2 linked regions of the Notamacropus eugenii genome follow. The protein of the gene in region 1 interacts with the protein of each later gene in a pairwise test. Links are inferred from orthologs where the notes say so. Each region holds a gene or a part of one and is shown in the gene's direction. Other genes may lie near its edges.

Evidence for each region. The genes of interacting proteins can lie anywhere in the genome.
Region 2: the proteins of ATOSB (region 1) and FHL5 interact in binary tests that used the Homo sapiens proteins (3 or more experiments, as listed by UniProt). The two-hybrid records come from large-scale screens. The link is inferred for Notamacropus eugenii from reciprocal best matches to the Homo sapiens genes ATOSB and FHL5.

What each region holds. Positions count from the first base shown.
Region 1 is NC_092872.1:78,502,473-78,510,438, reverse strand, and holds the start of ATOSB (atos homolog protein B), read left to right. Parts: upstream 1-4,965; 5' UTR 4,966-5,079; intron 5,080-5,248; exon of another isoform or gene 5,249-5,378; 5' UTR 5,379-5,408; intron 5,409-6,410; 5' UTR 6,411-6,504; intron 6,505-7,794; exon of another isoform or gene 7,795-7,966. UniProt on the Homo sapiens protein: Transcription regulator that may syncronize transcriptional and translational programs.
Region 2 is NC_092873.1:172,750,948-172,758,208, forward strand, and holds the start of FHL5 (four and a half LIM domains protein 5), read left to right. Parts: upstream 1-4,248; 5' UTR 4,249-4,263; coding exon 4,264-4,370; intron 4,371-7,261. UniProt on the Homo sapiens protein: May be involved in the regulation of spermatogenesis. Stimulates CREM transcriptional activity in a phosphorylation-independent manner.

The sequences.
Region 1 (7,966 bases):
CTAAATTCTGTTTTAACCATTCTACTGGTGGACCTTGTGATTGTCTTGTCATTAGTTTCTGAGTGAGAATAAATTACTTGTCCTATACTCAGTTTGTGATTGTGCATTACATGACTTTTTGTTTGGAGAAAAGAAGTCCTAGATAAGGTCCAAAAGGAACACTGTCCCCAGAGTAGATCAGGTGGGGTTTTGATGAACCAACAAAAAATAGGGAGAAACCCCAGGCAAACCACAATGACAGGGTTCAGTACTAGAAGGGTGTGGATCACCAGCCCCTATGGCATCTGCCAAGTGGCGTCTTTAAGCTAGATCATCATTTAAAGGAGACAAACTCATCTACAAATAACTATACTACAAAAGGGAAAATGATAAATAAAAAGAGCTAGTACAAGTTCTGAAAAAGGAAAGATGATTTTCAACTAACTGAAGGGTTCAGGGAAGACTTTTTAAAAGAAATACCATTTCAACTGGATGCTTAAGCACTGATAAGATTTCAATAGGTACAGATCTGGATAGGGGAGCCTATTTCAGACATAGGGAATGATGTAAGCAAAAGAAGAGATAGAGAGGAGTGAAGGACATAGTCAGGGCACAGAACTTTGGTTTTGAAACATAATGCAAGACACAGTTAGACAATGGTGGGCACTCTAGGCCACTGGTTTTCTTACTCTGCTGTTCACAACACAGTATTATTCTTTGCACTGAGCATACTAACAGCTGAGCATTCTCATTGGCTTTCAAGTAGAAGTTCCACACAATACTCTAGAACTCTGAAAGAACCCTCATATTCTACCCACCCTTTGTGAATCGCTGTTGTAGGATGGAGTTAAAATTTATCTGATAAACAATTAGGGGACCACTGAAGAGTTGTGACAGGGAGGACTACCAAATCTGTGCATAAAGAATAATTCTACAGTCATAGTGCAAAGGATGGATTGGAATGAGGAGAGGCAAGAAGAAGAAATAATACCATGATGTCAGGAGACTATTGAGATAATTTAGGCAGGCTTACTAGATTGTTTGCTATGTGAAAATAAAGGAGATACAGAGAAGACAAATTTAAAAGATAGTGCAGGAGTAGTAATGTATTTAAATAAAATACTGTGCCACTTGTTGATAGATTGGTTGGTGTAGAGCCATGAGCAGGTTAACTGATAGTTCAAGGGGTGGGGATGGGGGAAAGGAGAAACAAGCTCCTACTTATTATTACCTGTTTTAAAGCTCCTACTATGTGCCAAGAATTTCACTAAACACTTTACAAATATTATCTCATTTGATCTTCACAACAGCCCTGGGAGGTAGGTGTTATTATTGTTCCAGTTTTACAGTTAAAGAAACTGAGACAGTCACAGGTTAAGTGACTTGACCAGGATCACACAGCTAGTAAGTTTCTGAGGTTCAGTTTGAACTTCAGTCTCTCTGACACCAGGCCCAGGACTCCGTCCACTGAACCACCCACCCGCTCAAGGAAGGGTCATCACACCTATTGACTTTTGGGGTTGTTTGTTCATTTTGTTCTCCTCAGGCAAAACCAGGACTTCTCCTACAGTCAGGATTTAATCCTTATTCCTAGGGTTTAGTTAGGATAAGAGTCAATATGAAGAAGTTATCAAAAAAACCTAGGAATTAATTGCAACTCCTGGAACTGACATATTCCTTCCTTCTACCCCCTCCTCAACACTCCTTTTGAAGAACCTACTGACTCAGAATGGAAACTTCTAGAAATACAACAAATACACGGAGCTTTGAATTTGTTGTGACAGTTGGATTGGAATGGGAAGAAGAAAGGGGAAAGGGAGACAGTGGACCTGTAAAATCTCTGGGGCTAAGCATGAATATCTGAAGAAAAGAGAAGCCCCATGGGCAGCTACTCTGTCCTAAATTTCTTACCCAAAGGCTTGAGACATCAAGCAGATATCACTTGGGTGGTATACCAGAAATGAGTCTTCATTCAAGAAAAAAATGTAGACCTTCACTCAAAGGAGGCCTACCATCCCCTACTCAAACAGCCAACACTCATTTTATTTCCAGTTTTCAAAAATTCAGGCTTCCTTAAGCAAAGAAAGGACTGGAAATATAGGAAATCAGGTGAGGATAGAAACCCAAAGCTGGGAACAAAGCTTACCTAGAATATATTTGGGCAGCTGGGGATGCAATAGATAGAACACTGGATCTGGAATGGAAAAGCCCTGAGTTCAAATCCATCCTCAGATACTTATCAGCTGTGTGACCCTGGGCAAGTCACCTAAACTCTGTCTGCCTCAGCTTCCTTAACTGTAAAATGAAGATAATAGTATCTAGATTCCAGGGTTGTTGTGAAGATCAAATGTGATGATATTTGTTTAAAAAAACCATTTATCATAGTACTTGGCACATAATATGCACCATATAAATGCTTCTTCCCTTTCCCCAACCTATAACACCCAAAATTCCAATCACTTCGGAATGAAATTCTAGAGTCACACAATCACTCAGATACTATGAATTGTACAGATGCACACAGATATACACATTTACCCAAAAGTCTTATAAACTCTTACATACCTTCTGGGATACTCTTAAAAAAAAGTCTCTTGGATTTCAATTTCAGGCCAGCCCTCATTTCATTGCTGTTTTGTATTGCCCTATGCTGCCATCTTCAGGCAGCTGGGAGATGGGCATCCCAGGGTAAGCTATTTAGCAGGCTGCCAGAGACACTTCCTCACCTTTATTCCATTCCATTTGCATTCACACAGCTCCTAAGACTGATGCAAGGCAGAGGCCCAACTTCTTTCGATTCTAGTGCACACATCCGTGGCAATGTAGCATCATGTCTATACTTGGTTGTTGTTCAATCATGTCCGACTCTTTGTGATTTGGGGTTTTCTGGCGTTTTCTTGGAGTGATTTGGGGTTTTATTGATTTACCATTTAGGGTTTTCTTGGAGTGATTTACCATTTCCTTCTCCAGTGGATTAAGGCAAACAGAGGTCAAGTGACTCACCCAGGGCCACACAGCTAGTAAGTATCTAGACCTGATTTGAACTCAGGTCTTCCTGACTCCAGACCCAGTGCTCTATCCACTGAGCAACCTAGCTGCCTCTCTCACTTGTCTACACTTGTTATTGTTCAGTTATGTCGAACTCTTCATGACCTCATTTGGAGTTTTCCTGGCCAAAATACTAGAGTGGTTTGTCATTTCCTTTTCTAACTCATTTTACAGATGAAGAAACTGAAAGGGTTTCTTAACAACCCAAACAGGCTTAAGTGACTTACCCAGGGTCACACAGATAGTGTTTGAGGCAGGATTTGAACTCAGATCTTCCTTACTCCAGACCCCACACTCTATCCACTTCGAAACCAAGCTGCCCTTGTCTAGACTGGTAGTTCTTAATCTGTAGATCAAGGGCCCACACCAGAAGCATGGGGGTGGAGGGAGGGGAGTGTGGAGAGATGGACCAAGACAATGCAAGGAGTGAATCTCATTAGATGACTCAGCGTATGAGTAAACAAACATTTTCGGTAGGATGAATATATATAATTTCTTGCGCATATATTACCATTTTCCCATTTTATATAGATGCAGTGGTGGTGGTAGGAAGAATCTTCAATTTCCTCAGGGTAAAGCACTTCCTACACTTATGAAGATCATAGCCTGTCCCTGTTTTAATAGATAAGTGCTAAGGAGTTACTTCACTCACACAGAATCAAATGACTTGCCAAGGGGACAAAGCTATAATGTATCAGAAGAGGGACTGGAACCCTTGTTTTCCTGATTCCAGGCTCGTCAGCTCTCTATCCACTGTTCCACACATCCTCAACTGTTGTGGTTAGTAACAGTGAAATTCATTTGAAAGCCTTATTGAATACAAAGTAGCCTTTCTTCATATATGTATGTATGTGTATATATACATATACCTACACACATATATACATACATATATATCTCACTGGATACAAAGAAAACAAGGACTCTACAGAAAAAGAAAAATTGAGAAGTTCCTGGTCTGGATGTCTTTTTTCCCCTTTAACACCTTTTATCTGTATCTTATTTATTAGTCTTACCTCCCCTAATTCCATTGCAAGCTCCCTGAGAGCCAGAGCTGAGTTGGTTTTCATTTGAGTATGTAAGCCTATTTCTAGCACGGAGGACAGGGCTTTATGCACATAGTAGGAACCTAATAAATGTTTATTGAATTGCATGGTATAATGAAAAGAACATGATTTGCAACCAGAGGACTTGGGACCTGTATGACCACAGGCAAGTCACTTAAGGTTTCTGAGTGTCAAGTTCCGTCATCTTCAAAGACGTAAGGAATTGTACTAAGAGGAGTTCCTCTATTTCAGCTTTGAGGTTTTAGCATTACCTGTGCAAATAAAATCCCCTGCCTCATAAAGGATTCCCTACAAGGAATTACACTACCCCACTGGACAGCGCCTCCAAATGGAAAGGATTAGTCAGGTATGGGGAACCTGTGGTCTCGAGGCCGAAGGAAGTCCTCGAGGGCGGTTCTTACACGGAAGCCAGCTTCACAGAACAAATCCCCTTAATAAAAAGATTTGCTCTGTAAAACTTGAACTCAGTCAAGCCACATGGGCCTCGAGGCCGCAGGTTCCTCAACTCTAGAGCTAATTTGAGGAATAAATCGGAGTCCAAAACCAGTTAACAGCCCCTGCTACAACTTGAATCTCCCCTTCCTGGGCACCTGACCCCTCTGCACCAGGCTGGGGCAGAGACGCAGAGGAGAGGGAGGGCAGGCTCGTGCTCCAGTTCACCTGGGCCCCACGGGCTGCAGCGTGAGCACAGGTGACCCTGCGAGTCCCGGACAACACGCCTACACTGGCCCGGACACGCCGCAGGACTGCCCGCAGGCTACCGGCCTCCAGCCCCACCCCTCGGGGTCCTGCTCAGCTCTCAAAGGCCAGGCCCCACCCCCTCCCGATCTGTCATCACAGAAGCCGCACGTGGCCGGGGCGGGACCTGAGGCAGTCCCCGTGTGTCGCTGCGCTCTTCGGCTGCCGATTGGCTCAGCGCAGCAGGAGGCCGGCTTGGGCCGCTAGACCGCTGCTGTCAATCAAGAGCCTCCGAGCCAGCCCAAGGGTGAGCCCGGAGGGGTCCAGTCCTCCGAGCGGTCAGCCGGAGCCCGGGAAGTGGGGCGGAGCTCGGGCAGCGGGGCGGGGTCCGAGGGAGCAGGGTGGGGCCCATCGGAGTCAGGGATGGACGGGGCGGGGCTGGGGAGGGGGGAAACCTGCAGGGGAGAGGGGCGGGGATCGGGGAAGGGAGGAAGGAAGGGAAGGGGCGGACCTGGGGGAGGGGAAGGGAGGGGCTATGTGGCAGAGGCTGCGGCTGCTCAGTAACCGCCCCCACCCCCCTGTTCTCTTGTCCCTGCCCCTCACTAGGTGCAAGGGGATCGACCACTGGAGCTACAGGTGAGGGAGGAGGGATGCAGGGCGTTGTTGCATAAGGGGGAGAAGATGGATGGGGAAGGCTAGGTGGAAAAGGGGTCTGTGGGAAAGCTGGAGGGGGGAGGGGATCCAAGGGGTTTTGAGGAAGGGAAGGGGTGGGGTACTGTGTGAGGAAGGGGAGGGGTCTGTAGGGGGCGCTGGGATAGAAAGGGGAGGGGTCTGTGAGGATGGGACTATAGGAGGAGAGGAAGGGGGCTTTGGAGGTGGGTACTGAGGCGGGAACGGGGTTGTGGAGGGGGCTGTGAATAAGAAGTGAAGGTATTTAGGGGGTGCATCCCGGGCGGAGGGGGAGGTCTGTGGAGTGAAATGGAAGGGCTGCTTGAAAGAGGGAAATAGAGTGTCTGTATGACAAAAGAAAAGGAGCCTGTAGATAGAATGATATGAAGAGAGAGAAGGGGCTTGTGAAAGGTGGGGTCAGTTGTGTGAGGAGGGGGATCTGGCAAGTCTCAGGGGCAGCCCTGTCTAGCCCAATCCCAGTGAGGCAGAAGGGGCCCAGTGAGAAGGTGCTTGGGGTGGATATATGACTCTGTAAGGTGGAAGGATAAACCTGTGGAAGATCCCTTGGGACATCACTGTATGAAGAGAAGGGGTTCCTTTGTGTGAGAAAGAGGGGAACAAAATAAAAAGGTTTGGCCTGGAAGGGGAGGGCTTTAATGGCATAAGAGAGGGAGGTGGAGAGTTGGGGAATGCGTCAGAAAGGGGAGAGGAGTAGGGCAGTATTTTGTGAATAGGAATATTATAAGAGGCCATATGTTGGAATTTACAAGAACAGAATAGTGGGGAGGCAGGAGTGTATGCATGAGGAAAATGAGGGGACTCCAGAAGGAAGAAGGAAGTAGAAGAGGAACTGAGGGAGGGATACATCTGGAGTGAAAGGGTAAGGGTTGATTCGTAGGAGACTGATAATGGGCAGTAGTGAAAGTTAGCAAGCTTTGTGCCCACAAAGTGCCCCTACTTTCTCCTCAGCTCCCAGTACCCATGGAAACCCCGACCAGGGAGGGAGAAGATACTTTCAGCACAAAGCCCCACTGGCCTTGGGGGGTGCTGAGCTCTCACATGGGTGAGAACTGTTGCCCCGGGGGGGATCCTGTCAGTATGCCCTGTGTAAGGCTTGAGGAATGATCACTTCTACCAACTGTGAGATTATCCAATAATGACTAAAGTCTCTTTCTCAGTCCATGATATCTCTAGGGAGCCTTCTCCCTCTCACCCGCCCAACATCTGTTCTTCACTCATCCTCCATTTTCTACTTGGTCCTACTCTCAATAGCACCCAGCTCCTCTTAAGAGCCTCCCTCAACCCCCATTTTCTGTTCCTCACCAATATCAGCCTTGGTCCCTGTCCTCCCTGCCCCCTGTCCCGGACCTTCCTTTGCCCTGCCCCTTTGTTCTGGGTGTGTTCATTTCCACTTCCTTCCTTGCCTGGGACTTGGCTGGTTCTTGCTCTCCCTGGGCAAGCTTTGTTTTCAGGTGTTTGGGACCCAGAGACCCTGGTAACAGATCAATGGAACTACAGATGGAAGGAAACCCTTAGAGGTCATCTAGAACCACCCCTCCTCTCATTTTACAGATGGGGAAACTGAGGCCTAGAGAATTCATATGACTTGCCAAAAGTCATACAGGTAGTAAGTGGCAGAGCCAGAATTCAAACCCAGTATTTTTTGACCCCAGATCTAGTACTGTTTCCACAGTACCAAGCTGTGTCCATAGGGCCCAACCCTTCTCATTATAGCAGACCTCTCCTGGCCAGGAGCTCTCTGGGTAGAAACCAGGCCTCTACCACTTGCTGAATACTCACTCAGCCCCACCCTCTGGGATGTCCTGGGTCCTTGTGGGAGACATTGAAGCTTATGTTCTGTAAGTGCAAAGGTTATTTTCCCTTAGAGCATGAGCCCTAGAAGAGAGTGGGGCTCTCAACATCAGCTATAGAAGGGAAGAAGGAAGTTGCATTCTTTTTTGAAAAACTCTTCTCTCCTTCCACCCACCTAGTAGAGCAAGAACCACTACTGGTTGTAATGTTTGGCCCTATTTCCCCTAGGTGTGAGTACTCTTGGATCCCTATGGAGACTTTGGTATGGTACTGAAGGCTGTTCCATAAGGGCATTAAAGGATTTTCCCTTTCTGATTGGGGGTGGGGTATGAGGAGGGGTTTTAGCTGGGGGCAAGAGATGCTTCAGGAGGAGATGAATGATGCATGTGTAAAGCAGCCTATGGTGTCAGTGACATGACAAGACTGCCCTAGACCTAAACAAAGGGGGGCAGGTTAGTGGGGGGGAGGGGTGGGGGGTGGGGAAAACAGGCTGAGGCCTGATGAGGACGACCAGATTGCCATGGCAACACTGCTTCCCCGACTGTCTCTTAGAGAGAGGGTGGGCCTAGGGCAGAAAGATTTTCTGGCTTTCTTGTTGGGGGAAGGGGATCACTGGAAGAGGGTAGTGATAGCCTGGTTTTACCAGTTTCAGAAGCTTCTGGGGAATGCACAGGCTGCCCAAATGGGCCGGGCATCAGAGATCCTGTTAGATA
Region 2 (7,261 bases), on another chromosome or scaffold:
ATCTTAAATTCAACAGCTCTAAGATTGAATTTATCTCCTTCCAGATTCTTCCCTCTTTCTAACTTCCCTAATATGGTTGAAAGTATCACCATCTTCCCAGTCACGCAGGCTCAACATCTAGATATCATTCTCATTCTCTCTCACTCCTCATGTCTAATGTGTTTCCATGTCTTGTTGATTTCACCTTCACAATATCTCACATATGTTTCTTCTTCTGTCTTCTGATACCACCAACACATTAATGCATGCTCCCACATTTCCTTATACTTGGACTATTTCTATAGCCTGCTAGCTGTTCTCCCTGACTCAAGTCTTTCTTCACTCCAGTTTGTCTTATATTCAGCTGTCAAAAGTGATCTTCCTACAGTACAGGAATGAAAATGTCACCCCCTATCAACAAGTTAAGTCCACGAAGTTTCAGTATATTCCAAAGACCCTAAATCCTGGGGAATAACATATGTGGGTTAGTACAGCACAACCTATAAATAAGGATAAACTATACATACTCATGGTACATTGCAAAACACTGAATTTGGAGTCAGCAGAACTATGTCTGAGCCCTTCTAATGAATAACTGTAAAATCTTGTACAATGTATTTTACTTCTCTAAACCACAACTTCCTCATTGGCAAAAGGAAGGAAACAAAAAAAAATCTTTATGATCCCTTCTAACTCCAATGACCTCTGGTCTGCGGTTTTTTCTAATCACATAGTCTGCTATGGCCCCCAGTAAAGTTTTTATTTCATTCTGATTCACAGAAACCAATAATCATGATCAGACTGAGTGCCAGGCACATTGTGGGTTATTCAAGCTAATGAATATGTTGTCAGTTTAATTGAGATTATAGGTTTAATGCTGACATGGTCCATTTAGTTTCACCATATTCCAAAGACCCTAAATCCTGGGGAATAACCCACATATATTGTTGGCTACAACAGATACTAAAAAGTGCAGAGAAATCACCACAAAACCAGCCCCTTTACTGGAAAAAACAATTCTGAAAACTTATCCCACTGATGTATTTGATAGCATCATCTTCAAATGGAAAAGGCAGATCAAAGTTTATAGACAATCCTTATTCATGAGACATGAAATAGTATGGGATCATAGGATTTGGTAGTAGGATTTTAGATTTATAGCTGGAAGGGGGTAACTTAGAGAACAACTAGCCCAACTGCCTTAGTTTACAAATGAGGAGACTGAGGCCCAGGGTAGTGAAATGATTTTTCACTAGTCACATTGGTAGTCACAACACAGGAATTTAAAAATTAGCCTTATTATTCTAATTAAAATAAAAGGATTAATTTATGTTAAATGTACCTTCAGTGAAACTCTAGGAAACTGTCATAGTGATTTGCTTTTGTTCCCAGTGAGTCCTGGATTCAATCAAATCCTCAAACTTACTGGGGATAATATAATACTGACTATGGTGGGGGAAGGAATGAGGAAATATGCCAATATTGCCATAATTGTGGATTTGTATTTATAATTATGGTTTTTAAATGTTGTCTACAAGACCTACCATAAGAGGTGAGAGACCCAAGCTTGAACTATAGCAAATCACCCTAAGATAGGGAAATGTTTGAAGCTAGTGGTTAAAAGCAAATGAAAATAAGTATATAGGTCTCATTGGCTCTCAGGTGTGCATTTCCACTCATATGACTGAGGAGAAATAAAAGGGTGCAAAATGGGGCACAGGATCATAAAACCATTTCATTTATCTGGTTGTCTATAGGGGTAGGAGGAAACCCACAAGCAGATAAATAAAACTATTCTCTGACACCCAAGTCCATAGCTAGTACTTTAAGGTGCAATATCACATGGAATGGTCTAAATGGTATCTCTCCTCATCTGTAAAATGACAGTGTTGAACTAGATGGTTTCTGAGGTCCATATCAGTCCTGTGATCACAGGGAATAAACTATGTCTAAGGTTTCTTCTTTAAGGCACATTAGGAGGTACCAGTTTATACAATTTCCCACCTATACCTGAGGGCTGGGAAAGCAGATTTTAGGACACCCAAGAACCTTGCCAACTAAGTCCATGGAAAAAAAATTAGAATTGAGTTATCATTAAGGATAAAAAATTGTCAAAGAGAAAGAATTTGGGCAAAAAAAAAAGATGTACTCAAGAAAGAGTGATGGTGTCCAGTGGCTATCATTTAGGGTCCATATTACAAACTAAAAACTTGTATAGCTTGTATCCCACCTCCATTTTTCTCCTATGGAGTCAGTGTCCTTTTCAAAAGTACTCAAGGAGGTAGTATACTGTTTGGGGAGAGCATGTAAAAGGCAGAGGGTGAGTGAGTAGGTAAACAAGGTAAAGAAAAATCAACTGTCTTCTCTCCATAGGGAATTTATAGTATGTATCTGCATATTAGGGATATAGTATGTATCTGCATATTTTCCCAGAAAATTAGGGAAAGGAATAGCAATGAAAAATCTAGTAGCAAATGACCCGGGACTTCCAGGCATTGAAAGAGAACTCTAAACTCGGGGCAACAGCAATACACTTCCTTTGGTTTCTACGTCTTTATCATGCCATCTCACTTCATGTATCTACAGGGTGCTCCAAAAGTCTTAGCTTATCCAAGCCTATTCTCTTCTCCATCCTTAACTTTTTCTCTCCTGTCTCTGTACCTTTGTCTACACCATCTCCTCTGCTGACAATGGACTCTCATCTCCCATCTCCATTTGTTGAAATTCCTCCCTTCTTTCAAGATCCATGTCAGGTGCCACCACATATAAGCCCTCCTTGATCCCTAGTTAAAAATGATATTTCCTTCTTCAAATTTCTTTCACGCTTTACACATATCTCAAATTCCCATTTGTTACAGTTATTTGTGCATATGTTATATCATAGTTATTTGCACAACTCTCCAGGATCTTCCATTGCCCTAATTTTCCATTTTAACTCATACTCTTTTTACATGAGCTCTATATTTCAAACAAACTGGACTACTTGTCATCTCTCTTACACCTCTTACCTGTCCCCATGGCATGCTTTCCTTCCTCCAAAAAATAGCACATGCTGTTTACTATGCCTAGCATGTCCTCTTCCATCCAACCTGCTGAATTCTTACCTGCCTTGTAAAGGCTATTTCAAATGCTCTCCAGGAAGCCTTCCTTGATCTCCCCAGATAAGGAATGGTCTTTCTACACTTAAGTCTCACATTGCTCTTATGCACTTAGGTACTATCATTATTTTTATAGATTTACAACTTACTAAATTGTAAGCATGTTGGAGGCAAGGACTCTGTCTTATCTACCTTCTCTGTCTCCTCCAATACCCAGCACAGTGCCACATAGAGTAGGTGTTTAATAAATGTTTGTTGAATGTAGTGATTCTAGGGATACCACATCTCAAAATGTTATGTTGCCTGCCTTTTGGATAACTGCTGGAAAAAAGATATAATGAATTGCTTTAAAGATAACCAACAGGAGTGGAAAAAATGGAAGACATGATCTGGAAACTCCATAGACTAGATAATACAAAGTTGAGTCCGTCAAGTAATAATCCTTTATTTTATGTTATATCAGAAAATTATCCTCCTATGAAAGAATCATAGTTAGCACAATCCTCAAACACTTCAAAAAAATTAAAGTCTTTGTTGGTTTAAAAAAAAATAAGAAGCTCTTTAAAATATGGGCATCACCTATTACATATTGGTCCAGTGGCAAAAGCATTAGTTCTGAACTCGAAGAGCATGGTTACAAATTCTACTTCTGATACTTACTACCTTTATGACTTTGGGTATATCACTTAGCTTCCTTGGGCCTCAATTTCCTCATATGAGAGGAAATATGAGGGGGGGGGAAGGGAGGGAGAGGGAGGGAGAGAGAGAGAGAGAGAAATCAATTGGCCTCTGCAGTTCCTTCCAGCTCTATCTATGAATAAATTCTTGTTGACTGATTGAATTGTTATTTATCTCAATAGTAAGAGCTATCATAATTACATCAGTCTCTGTAAAAAGTGTACCATGTATTATTTCAGCATCCGGAGAACAAATTAAGCTACTGGAAAGCTGTAGTCAGCTGTATTATTTCATGGGAGAACTGTTTGTCACTCCCCAGAGGATATGGAGTTGAATGCCCAACGTAAGACATTCAGCTTCCAACCGAACATGGCCAGTAAAACATATCCCTAGAGATTAATAACATTCCACTCCAGTTCTCTGATGCTTGTTTTGGGTTATTTTGATTGATGGTAGAATTAAAAACTCAAGTTATTTTTAAAAGGGAAAAACAACCTTTTCTGTTAGTATGATAAATACAGCTGTAGAACCAAAAGCCAATATTCCAAAAGGTTCCAGCCTCTCAGAACAAGAAAGGAGCTGGGGAGCATCTAATTCAACTCCATTATTTTCCAGGTAAGGAAAGTGAGGCCCAAAGATATGAAGTGATAGAGGCTACTAGAAGGCATGGTGGATAGAGGACTAGACTTGGGATGAGGAAGAAGTGAATTCAAATCGTGCTATAGAATCGTGCTATGGCTTTTCCACCCTGGGTTGAGTCCTTTAACTTAGTCTTTCCTTAACTGTAAAATGGAGATGCTAACATAACCTACTGTACAGTCATCATGGAAATCCAATGAGATAGTATGTCCAAAGTATTTTGCAAACCTTAATGTGTTATATAAATGTTAGCCATTATTATTATTAATTATTTCTATTACCCAAAGCCACAGAGCTAGTTATCAAAAGGCTAGTTCTGAAGTCCTGGTTTCCTGACCTCCAGTCCATTGCTCTTTCTACTATAAACTGGTAGTGTCAAATGATTATGGCTAGAGCCTGTCTTATTCAAGTATTGATACATTCATAATTGCAATTGACCCCTTACAACAACCCTAGCAAATAGGCAGAGTGCGTATTAAGGTCCTTTACTCTGGGGGAAATTGGGACCAAGAGATGCTAAGTAACTTGCTCAGGGTCAGTCGGAGCTGACATTTGTATCTTCATTTTACAATCGGGGAAACTAAGACCTAGAAAAACTGAGTGATTGCTCAAGATGACACAAAGTAGGGCTAACTATCGGACTAGAATGTGAATCTTACTGCTAATCTAGCGCTATTACCATTACATTGTGTTTCTATTTGTGCTGTATTTTTTCCATTTGGAAGTGTGAGTTTAAAATGTTTCCCTTTGGGCAACAGAAATCTTCTTTGGAAAGAATGTGAAAGGAATTTAAAATTCTCTATAGTCTTTGGAGACACAAACCACAGGTATTCTGTTGGACGTTCCTCAAGATTTCTCTGACTTTATCCAACCTTCTAAGCTTTTATTTTGCATTTGTAACATGCCTAGAACTGGAGGAGTTGGGAGAGGGGGAGAAGGAAGAAAGGAAGGGAAGGGAAGGAGAGGGAGAGAACATTCAGAGAAAGTAGTATGGTAAAGGGGATAAAGAGATGATCTCAGAACTTTGGAAAACCTAGGTCCTTTCTTTGAAAAATATACTGCTTGTATGACCCTGAGAAAGTCACTTAACTTCTCATTGTCCTAGAGGCAACTCTCTAAGACTCATTGCCAATCTTCTTTGGTAGAGTGAGTTTCCTAACAAAGATTTCCCAATACCAATGAAATCCCAAGTCCAGACAAATACATACACATATATCCACAATATATACGTACATACACACAACATATGCATATGATATAGGCATATATTCTATGTATGCCTATATGGGCATATGCACACATATGTATATATACACACACATATATATATATACATACAGTGTATAGAAAATATACACACACAGAGCTAGGTCATACAATGAATAAAATGCTTGAACTAGAGTCAGGAAGACTCATACTCTGATATAAATCCGGCCTCTGACACTCATTAGCTGTGTGACCCTGGGCAAGTCACTTAACCCCGTTTACCTCAGTTTCCTCATCTGTAAAATGAGCTGGAGAAGAAAATGGCAAACTGCTCTAGTATCTTTGCCATGAAAACTCCAAATGGGGTCATAGAGACTGGACATAAGTGAAAATATTGAACAGCAAACAACAATGCATATATACATATACATATACATATGCATGCCTATTAGATGTGTGTGTTTGCATGGATTTGGGGACTTTATTTGACAGTGAGGCTCTTCTGTTGTCTGGCTCTTTCCAGTCTTGTCTTCTAATCTCTCCCTTTGCACAGAGTGATGATTTGCTCCCTCATCTCAGCGACTTAGTTTACTCAGCTAGAACGCCACACTCCTACACCACAAGCTCCACTTGTACAATTTACACACGTCTTCCAAGAATCAGACCAAGTGCCATATCTATGAAGTCTTTCCTGGCAGCCTCTAGAGGAGGGGTTCTTAACTCTTTTGTATGCTGTGTAGTCCCTATGGCAGTCTAATGAAGCTTTGGATGGAACTCTCTTCAGATTAATTAAATAACTTAAGGAAATAACTAAATTTTAGTTAGATATTAGTGGAAATAAAAATGTATTTCTTTCCCATTCAAATTCACAAACCTCTTGAAATCTAGCCATGGACTCCAAGAGGTCTGTGGTCCCCAGCTACAGTACCACCTGTTTCACTAGGCTTTCCCACATAGACTACAGATACTGGTGTTTTAGCTTTAAGATCCAAATGAAATGTTACAGAAAAAACAGTTTGGCTGATAGTTTGGAGAGTTTTAGCTGTCATTCCAGAGAGACTTGTCATGCCAGTGAGGTGATTGAAATGCCTATCACACTGGTGAGAAAGTAAAAAAGAAACAGAATGACCAAAATATTGTTTGAACTTATGAAGAAAGCTTATAAAGAAAATTATATGAGAAAGAGTGAAGTGAAGACACTATTTTCCTCTCAAGGATGGAGAGAAATTAGAGAAGGTAGAGAAAAAGAAGGTGGGAAAATCTTTTCTGGTGAAGTTGTTTTGAATATATGAATAAACAAATGAAAATAGCATTTAACAAGTGCTTACTACATGCCAAAAAGCAAAAATAGTCTGTCACACTCTAACTGGGGGAGACTACATAAAAAAGAATTTCAGCTGCAGGGCATATGGAAAGGCCAGGAAGACCTAATGGTTCTGCAACTAAACTGATGTGAAGACCAGGAGGTTCATAGTCAGTCAGATGATAACACCCTGGGGTGTAATGGGTATAGCAACAGCAGGGTAAAGGGTTTAGCCTTGAGTACATTAGATTGTAACAGCAGGGGAGATGGCAAGGCCTATTGAATCTCCATTTTGCCCAAGTGATATGAGCTGTAAAGCAGCCTTAGAGAGGGGAAGAAGGGAAAGGAAGGGCCAAGA